Coturnix japonica: one gene and its partner. The protein of the gene in region 2 interacts with the protein of the main gene of each other region in a pairwise test. Links are inferred from orthologs where the notes say so. Each region holds a gene or a part of one and is shown on either strand. Other genes may lie near its edges.

Evidence for each region.
Region 1: the proteins of glutathione S-transferase-like (region 2) and C3H2orf50 interact in binary tests that used the Homo sapiens proteins (3 or more experiments, as listed by UniProt). The two-hybrid records come from large-scale screens. The link is inferred for Coturnix japonica from reciprocal best matches to the Homo sapiens genes GSTA4 and CIMIP5.

The regions. Positions count from the first base shown.
Region 1 is NC_029518.1:88,603,354-88,614,761, forward strand, and holds C3H2orf50 (uncharacterized protein C2orf50 homolog), read left to right. Parts: upstream 1-5,287; 5' UTR 5,288-6,306; coding exon 6,307-6,569; intron 6,570-8,173; coding exon 8,174-8,213; intron 8,214-8,834; coding exon 8,835-9,026; 3' UTR 9,027-11,316; downstream 11,317-11,408.
Region 2 is NC_029518.1:80,703,947-80,712,442, forward strand, and holds the end of glutathione S-transferase-like, read left to right. Parts: intron 1-1,961; 5' UTR 1,962-1,996; coding exon 1,997-2,083; intron 2,084-2,764; coding exon 2,765-2,816; intron 2,817-5,220; coding exon 5,221-5,353; intron 5,354-5,699; coding exon 5,700-5,841; intron 5,842-6,850; coding exon 6,851-6,982; intron 6,983-8,191; coding exon 8,192-8,317; 3' UTR 8,318-8,483; downstream 8,484-8,496. UniProt on the Homo sapiens protein: Conjugation of reduced glutathione to a wide number of exogenous and endogenous hydrophobic electrophiles. This isozyme has a high catalytic efficiency with 4-hydroxyalkenals such as 4-hydroxynonenal (4-HNE).

The DNA of each region.
Region 1 (11,408 bases), about 7.9 Mb from region 2:
TCACCCGAACCCTCCTGTGGATTCAGGGAATGTGTCACCAGGTACTGGGGAATCAAAGAAAAAGCTGTAGTTAGAAAAACCTGCATCCAGTTATGAAAATATCCTGCCTCTAGGAAGAACCTCCTTCTAAAGCCTAACAGTCAGTGTTGGCCAAACCGGAGCCTGAAGTGTGGTTTAACACTAGCTTCTACTTGTACATTAATAGAAACCTGCAACGAAGATGGTAAAAACAGATATGAAGATGGTTTATCAAAAAACAGATAGAGTATAATTGACGTGTTCATACAAGGCTTCCCAATTTTAGACTCTGACACTTACCTTGAAAATACTAAAGGGAAGGGACTCATTTGTCAGCCAACAGAACTGGCAAATGTTAAGAACATGAACCCTTCATTTAATATCTAGAGAAACATTTTAAACAAGTTTTAGGCACCCAGATTCAAAACCCAGCTAACTTGAAGAGAATTTGTCTGTCTTGCAGAGAAATTTTGGTATCTCACATCAAAGCAGAAAGTTAATGTACCTTTCTGAATACAGCAAGCGGGTATAAATGAATTATGCAGTGTCCTAAAGTAGAGACCAGTAAATACACCCTTAGCTACTGAGGGATATAGATAAGGGCCAGAGAGCAATGAAAAAAAAAAGCATCTTGAACATTAAAATAATGTGATACACATCAGAAATATTGCAACTCACAATAAAATATCTATGTAAGAACAACAGTGTGCCAGGCAACACAGAAAATTGAGTCTCTGTAGTATATGTGAAGCAGCACTGTTAGAAGCTGACCTGCAAGCCGGTATTAACTGTTCATAGAAGCAGAACAGTTAATATTCAGGATGCAGAATCAGAAAAGAATAAAGCTATGTGAGATTTCTGAGGTCAAGGCTGCTGCCTTAGTACTAAAGCAATATGAAGAGCAGCCTTTTCAGGAGTACTTAACCACTATATATATAACATGTATACAGTATATATATTTATATATACAGTATATATATGAGTATGAATGTTTTATGTATATATATATTAGAACTATTAGTGCAAGAAAAGAGAGGATAAACAGAATAAAGCCAAGATTTATTCAATTACAAGAGCTCCCTGCCCTGGTAAGGACATGACATGAACAACTCTAATTGAATCCTAAAGATCATTTTGGCTGTCCAAGCAATTTTGCACTTCTTCACAAGATCCAGCCTCTATTCGAGCATGTGAAATTCCAACTGAGAACATCGATAAGACTCAGCCAGTGAGGAACATTCCTTCCTTTTTCGTTTCTTTCTCCTGAAATGGATTCTTCTAAACGTTCCTAGTCCCATACAACCCTTCAGCATCCCTGCACAAAGTCCCACTACAGTGCCCATGAGGCAGGTTTAAGAAGAAGCCTCTCTCAGTGCCTTCCAGCATTATCAGACTATCAGCCTAGTTTGCAGAGTACTGGTGAAAACACACCAAAATACAGATCGCCCATATTGTCAAGTTATACTGCTTCCAGTTGCAATTTTAACTATAATTTGCTTTTGATACAACTAAAATTGAAAGGAAAAGGTCTGCATGTTGCATGGAATAGCCACAGTTGAGTGTTTTTTTCAAGTGAACAGTATTTTCAAATGAATAACTTTTGTTTCAAGTAACTGCCTATCAGTCGCTAGCATATTTTGCAACACTCGAGGCAAGAGGAAAAAAAATCCCCAACAGACTTCTTACAGCTTCAATTTCATTTTGAAGTGTCAGACTCTGTGTCACTGGAAGCAGACATTCCCTCTGCAGCACTCGTAAGCTGCAGCACAACAGACACTCCACTTTCCAGGCTCGCTCAGCTGAAATCCCATTAAGACAAGAATGAAGTTTATACTTTTCTGTCAAAGCTTCAGTGAAATTTAACAACAAATGAGACCTTTAACCAAGTGGCAAAGTAGCCTTCACTTAAAAAGGGATTTAATCCAAGCTTGTTGTTTTCAGGACTTTTCATTTTGTCTGCACAGAGCAATGCAGTTACTTCTTGTTGAGAGACCAAGCTGAATGTCGCTAGTAGGGTCTCCCACCTCCAGGTTTTCCAGATCCCTTGCTGGTTAATACCTATTCCTTCTCTATCGGGTGCTCAGCATCCTGACACTGAATATCTAGCATCCTACCCTGCCAAATTCACCATTTCCACATGGCAGTTTTGTCTGACTACAGCGATCCTGATTCATTTGCTGACAACAATGCATATGGCACTACTCAGAGACTGGCAGCACAGCCCATGTAGAAAGATGGTCATGGGGGTTTCCATTCCAATGGCGAGATTTTGGTCTTTCCAAACGGTGAAGCACTCTCCTCCAGCTGATGAATTTGCTGCTGCCTCTTATCCAGATGTGACATACCTGCTGCTGCTCTGCTTCTACATTTGTGTTTCTTAGATTTCTGCAGATAACTCCCATCAAATGCAGAATCTATTAAATGAAAAATGCTTTCCTGTACATTACATCATGGGTCTGATCTTCACAGATAATGCAATATGGTTGTTATGTTTCTTCTGAGGTCCTGTGTAGTGAGGTCCTGGAACAGGCTGCCCAGGGAGGTTGTGGATGCCCCGTCCTTGGAGGTGTTCAAGGCCAGGTTGGACAGGGCCCTGGGCAACCTGATCTAGTAAAGGTGTATGTTTGGTGGCCCTGCCAGGCAGGGGGGTTGGAGCTTCATGATCCTTGAGGTCCCTTCCAACCTGGGTCATTCTATGATTCTCTTTCAGGTGAGTTTGCTGAAAGACAGGAAATTATACCAAGTAATTTCTCTCAAATTCAGTAAGGGAAATACAGGAAATAAGGAAAATAGGAAAACCCAGAAATCGTCCCAGCTCCCTTTTGCATGGCCTGAACTATTTAAAACACGAGGAGCCTTTAGCTACAAATTTGCCCTTCAAATTTAGAAACAATATTTTTCAGAGGAAAATTCACTACAAAAAAACTTTTCTTTTTTTTTTTTTTTTTGGAAAAACCAACTCAGAAATTGCACCTGGATGACGAAATCAAAAACAGGCACAGATAATTTGGTCTTCTTAACTGTTTAATTTAAATGCTCAGTTGTGAAAAATGTATGTTTTAAAAATCAGTCAGAGAAATCTTGAATAACTTATACTGCAATACCCTCTTGTGGCCATATAGTAATAGTTTATTTAAACAACTGAAGCTTTCTTCTGCCCCCCAAAAAACCCTATCTTTTTCCTTTTGGAAGGAACTAGTTCATATATTTGTTACAGACAAATCTGCATCATCATCACTTGTCTGGCAGCAACAAAGGGATAACCTCTGTTTTGCTCTTCTTCAGCATAATGGGCATAATGGGCCCTGACACTGCTTATCAGAGAAACTAATATCAAAATTAACCCTCAAGCAAAGGCACCATCTCCTACAGTGACACTCATAACAACATTTTCAATTCTCATGTCCCCAAGCAGAGAAAATAAAGATGCTATAATCAGTTTTCATGGATACATACAACATGAAGCCACAATTAACATTAATCTACTCTACTGCAGGATGGGAAGAATTATGAAGTGGATCAATTGTGTTAACCCAAATGAGTTCCATTCTTAAATTCCCAACATTGTTATAAAAAACCCCAAAAGCTAAACCAGCAGATGATAATATTAGAGAAAACAGTTCAATACCCGCAGAACTACTGAGCTGTATATTCAGTGGCCTGAATCGGCTACAGGTTTGTCCAGTAAGGAACCCAGAGCAGTCCCCAGAAATGTCACCCTTAATGGAGACCAGTTATGAGAACACAGGATAGTTTTTAAAGTATTTGCTCTTAGTGTTCTGGTTTTGGAACAGCAGCTGAAGTCACAACCACCACAAAACTTATTTAGGCAGCCATTATCCCACTCCCATCTCCAATATCCATAGAAACAACTGGAACAGGATGAAGTGTCCAGCCGCTGTATGTAGACATATAGATTATATTCATTTAACAGCAGAATTTCTAACTGGTAAAGACTCCCATCTTTTCTGAGGTTGCAGTCTTGGACCTAAATATCTGACTTTAACCTACTAGCTTACTTCCAAGCAGACATTCCTGCTCCCCAGCTGCATCAAAACTAAGTAAGTTACATCTTCTGCATCTTTGCAGACAACATTCAAAAGAACAGACTCTATGCACTGGCCAGCAATGTTCCCATGTAAATTATTCAGTGACTACAACAAGTCATTTGGAAACTATATACTCAGCTGATAATCATTTTTAGCTTATTTTCATATTTAATTTGCATAAAGTGACTTGAAAGGGGCGGGGGGTACAAGATAGAAGGGGACAGACTCTTTAGCGGGGTCTGTTATGACAGGACAAGGAGAATGGCTTTAAACTAAATGAAGGGAGATTTAGACTGGAAATAAAGGCGACTTTTTTATATGAAAACAGCAGTGAGGCACAGGCACAGGTTGCCCAGAGAGGTGTTGGATGCCCTGTCCATGGAGACACCCAAGGTCGGGCTGGAAGGGGCTCTGAGCCCCTGATGGAGCTGTGGGTGTCTTGGTGTACTGCAGGGGAGTTGGACCAGATGGCCTTTAAGGGTCCCTTCCAACTCCAATGATTCTATGAAAGGTTATAATAAAAATAACAGAAGAACTCTGTAAACATTCATTAAAAAGCATTCAATTCACAGGAATAGCCTTTCCAGAAGGATCTTTCCCTGACCTGATCAGAGGCTGAATTCCTACACTGCACTGATAAATTAATTGGTTCTTCCAAGCATGCCCCAGGTTCCTCTCACTGCAGTTGGATGCCGCTAAAATCACACCCTTCAACTATCTATCTGCCTACAGTCCAGGAGAGGATCTTGGAATGAATAAAAAGCTTCTGGAGGAGGAACAGAGTCAGCTATGAGGCCTGGTTGGCAAACAGCTCATTCCTTTAGTTATAGGGCTGTGTGGTCATGTGACATTTTTTGTTCTTTTTGGATGAAAGACGTGGAAAAAAAAACTTTAGGTTTCAATTCCCTCAGAAAAGACAACAACACAGACAAAAAGCCTACGAAAACTGCATTCCAATCCAAAGCAAACATTCTGTTTTGACATCGATCTTTAAACTCTTCTTAATTTATGATACTGAAATTTTTGAAGTCATGGTAATTTTTTACAAACACAGAAATATCTTTTGCTCAGAAATGTCTACATGAAATGTCTGGATTGTTGGACAGTTACAGCTATTTTAAATTACCTCTTACTTGCCAAATTCAGCGTGTGCTTCCCAAAAGCCCCCAAGTAAGTACATTTCCCCCCCCCAAAAAAAAAGAAAAAGAAGAAAGAAAAAGAAAGCAAAATCCCTAAAAAACAGATTAGCATTTACTAGGAAGTTGAGGCACGAAGCTAGAATTCATCTGGAGCTGATTCCCATGACTCAGAAACAAGTCAGTTGAGAATTGAAGAGGAAATTTATACTTTAAATGGCCTTATTTTCCTGCAAGGTCACCAACACTTGAGGAAGTGACTTAATACCACAGAGGCCGTCACAGGCTGACTGTAGGGCTGACAAACTGACATTTCAGACACTGTTTTGAAAATTCTCACTAATAGCTCCTGAAAGTTCATTAAAAAGAACTTCCCATAGTTGCTTAATATCTTCTGAAGAAATCTCTGAGTATTTTATATGGACTTTTTATGATCTTTGGATGCTCTTCTTTAAATCTGAAAATAAGGAGCTTTAAAAGCACGATTGCATTGGAATATCTTCTTTCAAACAAAAGCGCTCTGCCCAAACAGTCCAAGGCCTCAACAGCTGCCTGCACTGGGTTTCTGCCCCCTCTCTGGTGAATATTCACAAGCCAGCCTGGTTTCCAATGGAGACAGTAAACACATCAGGGAAAGCAGCAGCTTTCGGGAGGTTTTGCTTCTGCCACAGAGCTACCACAAAACTCCTCCTGACAAACCAGCAGCAGTCCCACAGCATGCTCTGCATTAAAGCACGCTTTGCTGTTCTGCATGAACATAAGGTGGTCTCAGCTGTAAGCAGCACGCATCACCTCCCTAAGCAGAGAGCTTGCTGCTTACAGCTGGAGACTGATGGATTTCAGTAACAAGTGTTTCTTACAAAAATTGTTGTTACCACAGAAACTTGTTCAGCCTTCATGCAACGAAGCAACGCAGAGCAGTAGGAAATGATCATTAAATAACAAAGAAGCAAAACGGTGCTGAGCGCTACCCGTCAGAGCTGGTCTGCGTGCTCATTTTCTTAAAGCAGTCCAAATCTGCAGCTGAAAGAAAGCGCTGGGGGAGGAGGAGCACTGAAAGCACAACAGCAGGCTTAACCTGCTTCATTGTCAGTAGCTCTGTTATGAGTGTCAAAATGGACACGTTGGAAAAGGGTTCTGGATTTGGGAGGAATACCTTGAATGGTTCTCGGCATCCAGCAAGCAAAGCTCTGGAGCAAACAGCCTCAGCTCCTCCTCTGTCTCGTGGCAGCATTTGGCCTGGAAGAGCACACCTGGCTGCTAGGCCCAGGGCAGAGGAGCGGGCAGCACTGCAGCAGGACCAGGTACAGCAGGATAAGGTCTGGAGAGAGTCTGTGGAGGCTGAACGGAGAGGAAGAAAAATCTGGTAAGTCATTTGTTCCAATTCACCCCTCTTCTGCTCATCTCGGCAATAGTACTGATGCACCCTGACATCATAGGGCTTCATCCGAAGCCTACACTATCAAGCAAAGTTTTCTTCTGCAGGATCCTTGGATTAGAACCTACCACCTTAGCATTAGAAAGATTCTAACACTATATGAACTCTGTTCTCTACTGGGCAAAATCTATGCCAATAACTCCCAACACACTGAAAAAGCTGAAAAAGAGATGCAAAGAAGCGCATGTTTTCTGTCTTTTAGCTTTATAGGGATCTCCACAATGATTATATAAATGTGCCAACCTTTATAATTTATTGCAGACACACTGATATTATCACCACTTCTCATATTCTTGGAAATGGCTGAAATGGAAATTGAACAGAGTGTTCTGCCAAAACATGACTCTGGATTCCCAATCTGTAAATCTCCTGAACATACCCTACAAGCCACATGAAGACAGGAAAAATCCCATTATTTCAGTGCTTCAGCAGAAAGAACTGCCTGCATACATGTATTCACCAGTTACCTGAAAGAGACAGAGATTAAGATCCTCTCTGTCACGTAACTTGTGAAGTGCTTCTGTTCATACTTCAGTACACAACACAGACATAATTCTTACAGGAATATATTTGGTAAAAGTAAAAATAGCTCCAGTTCTGCCTATGCACTAGCCAAGCAGACAAAAGAAAAAAGGCAGAGAATGAAGCACACCACTTTTAGGATGGTTTTAGGAAGGGAAAAGAAGCCATCTGAAAACTCCTGTCCTCCTCCTCAGTCCTCTGGAGGAAATATAGATCATAGTTTGGGTTTCTCCAGTGCCTGCTGTGTTCACTGGCTCTTTTTGCCTGAGGGAAAGGCTGAAGCCTGGACTCTGACTCACACAAAGCCTGGGCTGTGGTTGCAATGCTGCTCTCCCTCAGTTGTACACTCAGGACCTTTCCCAGTGGGCCCAAATGTTCCATGCCCATTCTTCAGCAAAGGCAACAGGAGGGATGCTACATCTGCCCATGTCTATTAGGGCTCACAGTCATGGATGTCAGTGCAAACCCATGTTCATGTGTACTTAGGGTAACACATCTACAACTAACGCATGCCCTGCTCTCCATCCTTGGCAACAGAGACACAACTCTTGCACAAGGGTAGGACAGATATGTGGACAGATGTCTAAAGTCAGCATTGCTGCCGACATAGAATCATACAGTTACTCAGGTTGGAAAAGACCTTGAAGATCATCAAGTCCAACTGCAGCCTAACCATAGTACCCTAACTCTAACAACCCTCTGCTAAATCATATCCCTGAGCACCACATCCAAACATCCTGTGACATCAGGCCACAGCCTGCAGAGAACTGTCCTTTGGCGCCTCATCCCCATACCAAAGACAGTGATGGGAAAAGCTCGCTATGAGTTTGTGGTCTGACCTGAAGTGGGTACAGGCAAATGGCAGAGACACAAACTTTTCTCATTAATGAGCACCTTACAGTGACGTCCAAACCTGGTACACTCATATAGTGTTCAACATAGCAAGATGTATAAAACAGGGACAAAAAAGACAAAACATTTTAAACTGCAATTTTGACTTCTGTTCCGAGGTACCAGAACTGGAGTTTCCTAAAGGACTACGACCAAATGGTAAGTTTCAAACAAATACTTAACTGTAATCCAGGTTCTTTTTAGCTTGCACCACTTCAAAGGACACTAATATTTTAAATGGAGCATATTTAGGCATAACTGGCAAATGTTTGAAGACTAAAATCATTAGGAAAACAAAAGAGAGCTGAGGTGTCATTCATCTTCCATAAAGGAATACAGCTTTGTGCGTGCCTTCAGTCTGCTCCAGTATTTATAACTTCATGCAGAGAAAAGTGCTAGAAGAACCAGCTCAGGGGAAAACAAAGTGTAAGATAATGTCATACTAAAATCCAAGCCACTACTAAAAACAAAACAAATATCGTCCCACATCATGACCATTCCAGAGCAGGCTAAATTCTTTCTCTCCTGACATTTTAAGCAGCATATTTAAAAATGATTCATTTCCCTGTGCTATCTTATTCCCAGGAAAAATTGCTAGGAAAACTTTTTACTGTATTTTTGCAACGCTTTCATGTGCATTAGGGAACTATTACATGCTTACACCTTAATTGTCAAAAAGCAAAAGAGCTGATGTTAGTAATAATCTCTATAACCTGTATTTTCAGAAGCAAATGATGCAGCTGTGAAAACTCCAGCATTAATGGTCTTTGTTTCATCCAGGGTAACAAAAAGGAACAGAAGCCACTGCCAGACTGTACATCTGTGTTTTCAAACACGGTTCCCAATTCGACCAACCAGAACATTGGTAGTAGGATGAATACTGAACATGGCAAGATGCTGATAAACATGGATTACTTCTTCAGCAGGGGAGCACAAAAGAGGAAACTTGAAGATGACCTCCAGCTTTCCTAATGCTTAAAGTAAAGATACCGGTAACAAAGCAAGTGACAGAGATCTAGCTAATAGACTTCTTTCAGACTGAAAATAGCAGGGAACAAATTCCTCATCTTCCCCCTGATATCAACAGTACTGTCCTGCGTGGAGCTTTTTCAAGAGCAAAGATGTATGTCACCAAGCAATGCCTAAGAAGACAATCCTCTTCAGATTTGAGGTAACTGGGCCATATACAGTGAGTCAGGACCACAGATCCCATCTATCTTCCCATGCGAGGCCATTGTAACATTGCTACTAAAGAGAAAGTTTAGAGTCTAAGGGCAGTTTCTTCCTGAATTTTTACCTCCTGAAAAGAAACAATTGATGGAGATCAGTTCAGATGAGTTGCACTACAAACAACATGATACAACCTCTGAAAGTCAGTGTGATAAAGTGCAGCAGGTTGTTGTATTTCATGTATTTAGCCAAGGATTCATCAGCTTGTCACCTGCGTGTTTAAGCTTGTTCTTAGGAGTAAAGTTGAAGGAATGTAAGATGCGTTACATGCATTTTCAAGCCTCCCTGCCGAGAAACCTGAGCCAGGCTGAGCCAGGTTATATTCTTATTGTCACCATTCTTTAATTTAACAGGGATGTAGCTCCTAAAATCTGCAGTTACCCAGGGAAATCATAAGGCTAAATCGACACAATACTTACAGCCTGTTTACTAATGCATCTGGGTGCAAAGCTTGTTTGTGATCTGTTGTTTTGGAGGAAAAAACATTAATCAGCAGAGCATGGAAAATGGAAGCCTACACTTTCAACAAAATAATAATAATCTTGCTGAGCTAAAATACCTTCTGATTTCTTCTAAGAGAAGAAAGCTGCAGCAGGAACTGTTTTTATTTCAAATGCATCTAGTGGGAACATAGCAAGCTCCACGTTTTCTAACCTGCAGATGGCACTCACTTCCCACCAAGTAACCCATTGCAAAGGGCACAGCAACAGCATTGCACAATACCTTCCTAATTTCTAAGGGCATTAAATAGTTCCAGATTCTCAACAGTGTTTGCTCTGTGTGAATCCAGAGAATCCCTGTCCCAGAGAGGCCCTGCAAAATGGATTGCACGGGACAGAGGGTGGTCACAGCACTGCACTTTATCCTTCTACTCAGTACTGGCACTGCTTCAACTGAAGCGTTTCTTCCAGTTTTGGGCAAAACATGGAAGGTGCTGCTCTGAAGACGTGGGCACTAACAAGACTTGAGAAGCAAAGACTGTAAACAGAGTACTGGGAAGTTTGGCTATGAGGATACATTAAACAGGTTATTACAGCTTAACCTGAAAAAATAAAAAGAGAATGGGAACTGAGAAATCTCTACCTTTAAATGTTAAACACGCACAGCCATCAGGAATGACATATTTAACAAGGTTTGCCTGTTAGAGTGTGAACTGTGTAACTGAAGCAGTTTTCATCAGTTATCAGATCTTCACTGGAGTTGCCGGAATCAGAAAACATGGCTTTTCAAAACATATCCAAAAAGGATTTAAAAATCACATCAGTTGGGTCAGACTGGCATAGACCACACCTCTAAAACCCAGATCACCTCATGTTTCAATGAGCGCACATTCCTAGCCTTCTTCTGGCTGCCACTTTACAGTGAAATGCTTTTCACTGCATCCAGATGAGCCTTTTTCAATCAGAGCCCCTCTGAAATCCATCCTTAGTGCCTAGTGTGTAGTTAAAGTAAGTTAACACCTACAGCAACCTTCAGAGAACACAGCTGGGAGCTGCTGAGGACTCAACCAAAGCTGCCATAGATCCTGTGAGCAGAAAGCAGTAAAGAGGTATTCTGTAGACACTGTTTTCTTCCCAAGTTTAGCGATCATTTTTTCTCTTACCAGAATTAATGTCACCAACAAATCTTTATTTACATAAGCAGAGACACTGAGAAGGAATGGATGACAGCAGCACTTACATTTGTAAATGATCGGTGGAAACTCCATTTATTAAGGAGATTGTACAGATACTAAACTGCGCTGTAAGCTTCTTGAGAAGAGTTTTTATGATGTATCACTCGTGCTTCATGGTTTTATAAGAGGGTTTTTTTTCTTTCCTTTAGCTGCCAGATCTCAAAGAAGAGATTATCTGTGTTTAGAGAATCCATTCTCTGTATTTCTTTCAGTCAAAGCGCACAAGTGGGTAGGAATTTGAATTTAATTCTGGAGTTAGATAGATGGCTTTCTCTTCTAAGGATTGTTCCCAGTGCCTCCAAGTCTTGTGTGTTCTCATTTCAAGCTATTCTCATAATAAAAATGTGTGTAATTGTTCGTATTTTATAACAAAACATACGTAACTTCATATAAACCTTTATTTCTTCTGCTCTTAGAATAGTTTTTGTACACAGTTCCCATGTGACATC
Region 2 (8,496 bases):
GCAAAACGACCTCAGCCATTCTGATCCAGCACGCACCCTCGCACTGCACAGGTGCTGATATATGAGCTGTGTGTGGCAGAGCCCTTTGTAATCAGTGGTGCCCATGTCTCTGTCTCTTCCTCGGAATATCAAGACTACGAGAAGACTACAAACAAACAAACAAAAAAACCCAACTCAGAGTATCTTTCTTCACTCCGCTGTCAAGAGGTACTTTAGCGATATTTAAAACATCTTATCTTATGGCCTCGATGGAGTTAGTTAGGTATTCTAAGACAGTGTAGCGCAAGTCTTTCATGATCCAATGTTTACATGATTGCATCTACTCTTTTCAGATAATTCAACTCTCAGTTTATACGTACATTTCTCTACTCACTCTGTAAGCATAAAAATGTTCCACCTAATCGCTTTCTTCACCCTCTCGCATGTCTTTCTCGCTATGTGCGGTTGCTAGATACCCTCTACTCGGGTCGTACATAGTTAATCATCGCTTTAAACATGTAAGTTTTGGTGCATTACAAGCAGGGTCAATGTGTGTTGGAATGGATACCGATGCCAATGCTTCTGGATGAAGGTGCGTAATTCGAAGAGGCACCCAATATGTTAGCTGTGGGCCCCGCACAGCATACCCCGCCCCCCTGCAAGGTCACATGCGTCCCTCTACATAAGATGCTTATCACCTGCCCCTGTCCAGTCCAGCACTTTACAGAACACCACTAAATGCTAACGTCCTGACTTCACCGTTGCAAGGACCTTTTAATCTTTAGCAGACCAGTTTGTTGCCATTCTCACAACTCCGCTCTTGCCTGCCCACACCACACCTCACCCACTACAGATGGTGCGAAAAGACATGTGATGGCTATCGAATTATGCGAGCTGCATGCACATCATTGGGTCGTTCGTCTGGTGTGCAGGGCCCTGGGCACAGGTGTGCACTCCCTGGTGCCTTGGGGTACATTATGGGGGCACCCACAGCCAGGTTGTAGGTATGATTTGGGAGGTGACCATAAGCACCAAGGAGACAGGCTGAGGCCATCCAAGATGACTGATCTAGCTGCTGATTTACGCTGGTTGGCAACTCTGCCCTGGCAGGGGGTTTGGAACTAGATGATCCCTGAGGTCTCTTCCAACCCAGGCCATTCTATGATTCTATGCGTGCAAAGGCAGCTCAATCTGCCTCTTGGAACAGAAGGAAGATCAGTGATTCATGTAATTAAAGAAAGAAGTGGATGACAGATGAAGCTGTGTGATGCACTCTGACATCTGGAGAAAGAAAAGAAAAGAAAAGAAAAGAAAAGAAAAGAAAAGAAAAGAAAAGAAAAGAAAAGAAAAGAAAAGAAAAGAAAAGAAAAGAAAAGAGCTAGGAACATTTCAGCCTAGCAGTAAAACACCTTTTCCTTTCCCTCTTTTCAGTGGGGATCAAGGCAATGAAGGGCACTGAGTAACTGCCCCGAGGGCATGGTAGGATTTCCAGTGGCTTTGAATTAATGCAGCAAGGCTCCCCCTCCAGCGATTGCTTGTTTAAGCATGTGTGACCATGAACACCCTTTCCCAGTAGCACTGGAACAGTTTTACCACTCAGCACATCTTTCCTTTCCTTTGTATAAGACAAAAGGTAATGGCCTTAAGCTGAGCCAGGGGAGGTTCAGATTGGATATTAGGAAACATTTCTTCTCAGAAGGAGTGGTGAGGCACTGCAGGCTGCCCAGGGAGGTGGTGGAGTCACAGTCCCTGGAGGTGCTCAGGAACCATTTGGATGCATCACTGAGGGGTGGGTTGACTGGTAGAATATCCAAACTTAATGATTCTATGATTCTATAGGCTGTGTTGTCACTAATCCATCTCTCATATTTTAAGTCAAATAATGTACACTCACAGCAGATGTAGTGAGAATAAAAGGCTTTTCTATTTCTTCCCCCTGAATAATGGTACTTAAACCTGCTTTATGAGATCTTTGTTTTCAGCTTTATATTTTTCAAGGCACCAGAAGCTCAGAAGCATGTCGGGGAAGCCCAGGCTCACCTATCTCAATGGGAGAGGGCGAATGGAGTCCATCCGTTGGCTGCTGGCTGCAGCTGGAGTGGAGGTTGGTTGACAATCAGCTCTTTAAACGGACACTGTGTGAAACAGTTCAATATGCACACAGGGAATAAGAGACTGTAAAAGGGTGAAAAGTTTGTTTTTGGAATAGATTTAGGTTTGGACCTACTCTGTTCAGTGGCTGGTATTTGGGATGCAAACTCAATGGAGCTTTGGGTTTCACAGAGTTAGCATGAGTCTTCTGAAGTAATTCTAGTGGGTCTAAACAGGGATTTTTTTTAAAGGCCTTTAATAAATCTAAGTTTTCTAGCTGTGCAAAATCACTTTTGCTCAGTCTTATTTAGATTGCAGTTGCAAAGTGTATATATAAAAAAAAAAGGATGTTGTTGACTTACATGCTCTTGGGGTGGTGTTAGAAAGAGCTGATTTACTTGTGCTTCCCTTGGCATTGGCTGCAGCCTGCTCTTCCCTGTAGATGCCTGTGTCTTCTGCTTGCACTCCAATAATTTCTAAATCAGTGCAGCCAGGCAGAAATGGCCAGGCCCTTCTGCTGCAATCCAGCCATGGGGATGGGTGGAGAGTCCTCAGGGGATTCACAGTCAAACATCACAGCTGAAGCCCCAGCTCATCGTGTTTTGCTTGGCTGGATTGTTCTGCTCGAGGTTATGTGCAGTCAATTGGAGAAAGATGCCAGAAACATAAAGAGCTCTTCTCTCTTCTTTTCTAGTTTGAAGAAATTTTTCTGCAAACAAGAGAGCAGTTTTTGAAGTTAGACCAAGGTAAGACTATGATGCTTGAGGCTTTGGCCATCAGAAAGTTGCTCGTATTAATCTACATTTGTGATTTAAAAGCAATTTATTTAAACCAATGCAAACTTCCAGGTATAAATCTAGAATGCTGAACACTGGTTTTGTGTAACCTGTTTGTTGCAGTACCAAATAACTCCTATGAGATAGAAGGCAGAATGGCATAATTCCACATTCAGTAATGAAGCCTATCTGTTGCCAGAGAGGAGAATTAAGTGGCAGTGAAAAGGACAGGGAAGTCTTTGAAGGAAAATCAAGGCTCTTCATGTATATATGTATACTGAGCTTAAGGGATTGAGAGCACAAAGAAAAAGGCTGGCTTTGATACGATAAGGCAAAGAAAGTTGAATATTAGTCATTTGGTGGAGTGCTGCCAGGAGATCAGAGCAGGACTGAACTTAAATAACCACCACTCCCTCTACCTCCATCTTTTTTCTCTCTCCTTGCCAATGTGCCTTGTGCCAGGGAGCCCTGAGTTCAGACTCCAGAGCACTGTTACCACCAGCCAGGTGTGCCTCTGGCCTGTGCCAGCTGATGGTCTTCTAGGAATCCTCCAGCGCTTTCTGGCATTCGGCCCAGGCCAGGAGCCGTTCCCAGTGGGCACCTTCTAGCCAGACAGCTGCTTTGGAGACAGAGAGACTCCAGCACATCACCCTGACCAGCCTGTACACACTGGCTTGAGACCAGCTGGCTTGGCTTGATCTATGTAGCCACAGGTTGATGTCAAGAAGTATTGCTGTTCTGTCACAAACAGGCCTAGATTATCACTCTTTAATGAATGCCCACAGACCATCACCAGACACAAAATACAGCCAGCAAACTGCTTTAAACCCTGCATGTATGTTATATGCAGTGGCTACATGAAGCGGTTCCACTGCAAAACAAGAAGCAGCAGCCTACTGATGGTCACAGGGGAAATATTCTTCTCTGTAGAGAAGAAACAAACCAGGCATTCAGAGTCCTCACATTTGCTACACTGTACTTCTTGTCAAGGAGCAGAAGGTCAGATTCATTATCTACTTAGTGCAACTTCTTGCAGAGAAGTATGCTTGGATAGCTGCTATTTTTCCAGTCCTACGTTATTTCTGCCTGATATGGGTCTTTTTAGAGGTGATATTCTTTTCCTAATCTGCAGAGGTGTGTTTTGGTAAGAGATGATGACACAGGGTCATTCTGTTAGTGTTTATGAGAAATAAATGGGCTATTTCTTGCCACAAAAAGAGCTGCTTTTTGAATTTAAGCTGTAAATTAGTGATGTAGTGAAGAGTTTTTATTAATTCTTGGTTAGTAGAGTATTTTAGCAGCATCTCTGTAAAGAAGTGAGTAGGTAAAGGTGTTGTGAATTCTTGTACTTGGAAGAAATGCACTATTAATAACCGCCAAGCAATTAAAATAAATGCTTAACTTTGAGCAATACAGAGTGGCAACTGTCTACTTGGATTTAGAGCTGCAGTGTGATCTTAACAGGTCAAGATTGTTCTTTGGGTGCCCCTAAACATGTAAATGGAGCAGGGAGTATCTCCAAAGCTGGCAAATGAGTTCAGCAGAAAACTGTGCTAGAAAAGACTGGCTTTGCTGTTCTGAACACAAGGTCTCTCTGCACAGCCTCACTAAAGGATCAGCCAGACTGCTTCCAGCAGTGGGAGAAAACAGGGCTGTCAGCACAGGGGCAGGAGAGGATGGTGGTGGCACAGCTGGATGGTTTTGAGTTGTTGTGAAATGACACTGGGGACAGGCAGGCATGTAATGGAAATCTACAGGGATGCTCAAAGTCCTGTTTCTGGAGCAACTATGCAAAACTTAGTGAAGCAGCGAGCTGCTGTCACACTCCCCATCCCTGGCTTCAGTGCCTCACAATGAATCTGGCACTGCTTCTCCCAGTGCCCTGACCTTTCCCTTTGTCCCACTAGCTCAGTCTTACTGTGGCACTACCTCTTTTTTTTAATTTCCAACCCTATTTATGTGCCTGCCAGGGGACTGAGCTGCATTCAGAATAATTGGACTTTTTGTTCTGAAGTTCAGATTTAACACAGCTCTTCATTCTTCACAGGTCCCTGGGGCTGGAACTGCTGGGTCAGCCTTCTCCTGCCAGCAGGGCCAGGGGCCAGGAGTGCAAGGGAGCAGTGCCAGTTCCCATCAGGCAGAGCAGCTCTGGCAAAGCTGCAAAGCATGGGGCCCAGCTGCACTGCTCTGACCGAGCTGCAAACCTGATGCCTACCAGACAGTATTTGATCTTTCCCACAATGTTAATTAACCACGTGGAGTTTCAGAGTTAGGGCAAGGCGTCTGTGATCTACACTGCAAAAGAAATGCACTCTCCTGTAAAGCTGGAAGTCAAGGAGGAATTAACAAGCTCTCCTTCGTCTTTCTGTTCTAGATGGATCCCTGCTGTACCATCAACTGCCGCTGGTTGAGATCGACGGGATGAAGTTGGTGCAGTGCAGAGCCATCCTCAACTACATAGCAGGGAAATACAATCTCTACGGGAAAGACCTGAAGGAGAGAGCCCTGTACTGTAACACTTCCTCTTGCTTAATGAGCAATCTGTTATTTGATAGCCGTATTACATAGAACAAATGCAACCCTGTAAATCCAATACAAAGGTGTGAGAAAGGCTAACGAAACAAAGCAGACTGTGGCTTTTGTTTGGGTTTTAGCCATTGCTTATGAAATGCTATTGAACAGAAAACAGGCTTTTAGTCCATTCAAAATTTACCTAGCTTTATTTTGTACTTAGTTTTGGCTATGAAAATTGGCACCGTGATTGTGCTACACAGTTCCTGTAAGTTGCTTTAGTTAATTGCAATACAAATGAAATAAATCCCGTGCTCTTATCTATTGCTTCCCCCCAAATAGGATCGACATGTATGTGGAAGGAATATCAGATCTGATGCAACTGATTTTGATGTTTCCTTTCTCTCCACCTGACGCAAAGGAGAAAAATCTTGCCACGATTGCAGAGAAGGCAAAAGAGAGGTACTTCCCTGTCTTTGAAAAGGTACGTGACAGAGAGGATGTGCCTGGGAAACTTGCATTTACAGTTATCAGAAACTTTCCCAAAACTAAGAACATCATTGCGGTACAGTTGGATCCAGATCCTCAGTCCACTTGGCTCTCACAGAGAAGGGGAAATGAAACAGCAAATCTTCTGTTTGTTAGCTTATGTTGTCAGGGCTGGAACAGCCACCAAGCAAACAAAGTGAAATATTTTCAGTTTACACAGCATATCTCTTTTTACTGATGTAAAAGCAAGCACACATGTTATTGTTGTTGTTTTTTTTTTTTACTATGAGAGAAAATTCCACTCTTCTATTTGTCCAGAGCACATCCTCTCTGCTGCCCTTCAGTCAAAGAATGCAGAAAACCCTTGCAAATAAATCAGATAGACAAAAACATTGAGGTATTGGGACTGCTGTCGTAAAACAACAGCCTCAGATTTCTACACGCCTCATTTGCAGAAACAACAAACCAAACCCACAAGACCTGGCAACACTGTTCACCTTTGTAACGTTCATTTAGTTTTGATGGAAAACAATGATAAATGCTGAACATCCTAGAAGTTCCTATTACCATAACAACTTGCTTCTGGAGGCGGGGATTCTCTTTGGTTTGCTATTGTGATTTTGCATACTAAGTTTGCTTCCTGCATGTTGAACAGAACCATAGATTAAATCTCTAAATGGCATTTTCATGAATTCTCTCCAAGTCCTCTGTTGTCTCTATTTATAACCTTATGACTGTTAATATCTTATTTAAGTGTGTGGCTTTGTCTGTTTTCCCAGTACCGATCATCACTCATCATTACCAAGTGACCAGAGTTTGTAATATGTGTACTAGAAGTTCTGATTTTTTCCAACAACAGTAAAGTGATTTGGGCTCACAGTTCTCTAGCTAAAAAGTGAAACTTCACTTACAATCACTTGCAGTCACTGATTAGCTCTACAACTGTGCCATAAGGCTCAGCTGCCATGTATCATCTGCAACCTGTGCTCTCTTGTACTCTACAGATTTTGAAACAGCACGGCCAAGATTTTCTTGTGGGAAACCGATTCAGCTGGGCAGATGTTCAGCTCACGGAATGCATTTTAGCAGTGGAGGAGAAAGTACCTTCTGTGCTTTCTGGGTTTCCTCAGCTGCAGGTAATGATGCTATCGAACAAACTCATGTTCAGGAACCACGCAGTACAAAGACCTGCCATCTCAGTAGAAATCAGTGTCATTCTAAGGAAACCACTGATCTAAGCTGCCCTGTTTCCATTTTCCTGTCTCCTGCTTGTAAATACTATCTACTACTAATAACAAACTAATTCTGTGACATAGATAGACATGTTAGAATATGATAGAATGTGCCATTTTCTGTCCTGGCTGGTATTATAAATTTGGGATTCCAATAACTTTACTACAGCATGGCCAGAAATTCAAGACCTGATGAAAGAAAACACACTGTTTTCTTTCAGTAATCAACTTGATATCATCAAGGATGAATTTTCTGCTTTTATACTATGTACAAAATCTGCAACCAAGTGAAAGTAAGGCAATCAGAGATCAGACAATTCCAGATCTACAGCATGCTATAGAGCCCAATGCATTATCAAACCTGCAGGAGTCAGAGTTGTGATACAGAGGATCTAAATCCTCTGAGACTAAAAGAAGCAAATACTGTTCAGTAGTTCAACCTTGTGCCTGTAATCTTGGTAAATGGAGTAGTGCAAGCAATGTTAATTTAGACTGATGATTCTATGCTTAAAGTCATTACTTTGTGCTTAAAAACAGTTAACCTGAAGGATGCACTCAAAGACTTTGACTTTGATCCCATTAACAAAACAAGCAGTCCAGCATCAGACTATCCTAACTGGAATTTCTGCTTGGTACTCAAGGAAAAGGGGCAGGGAGGAGATGTGATACTCTCCCTACCCCTCAAATCCCAACTCCAGCAGTATAAGTCTGAATTCAGTCTTACTCCTTCCTGCACCCCACCCCCCTCCCCCCTTATCATTCCAGTGCTTGTAAGGAAGAAGAAATGTTCATACATGTGCCAGCAAGAAATGGCTGTTGTTCTGTGAACTCCTCTCCCTTACTCCCATTGTCAGAGGAGGTTCTTACATACATAATATTGCTGAGCTAACTGTGGGGTCTCCATATGCTCAAAACACTGCTTTTGCTGGTAAGAATAAGCATTTGGCAGCATCTGCGTCCCTCTCATATTAGGCCGGAGGAACCTACATAGACCTGCTCAGCACCTGAATGAATTCATTCTACCAGCAGGGGGAAGAAGCTGTCCAGTGTCCTGTGCATGGAACGTTGCTGCTCACATCATCGGGATTTATCTCTCTTGCTTTTATTTTTCAGGCTTTTAAGACTAAAATGAGCAACATCCCCACAATCAAGAAATTCCTGCAGCCTGGCAGCCAGAGGAAACCCCCTCCAGATGAAAATTATGTAGCAACTGTGATGAAAGTTTTTAAGCTAGGCTGAGTGCAATGTTAACTTCACCAAGTCTCAAAGTGCTGGGAAGAAAGACGTCAAAACCCAAACCCTTAAAGGAAGTAGGAAACTCAGTAAAGTTTCATTGTACTTAAAAGCAATAGTAGAAATCAATAAAAGAGTGAAATAAAGCATTCTGTTTACTCTGGCAACATGACAGTGGATTTGCC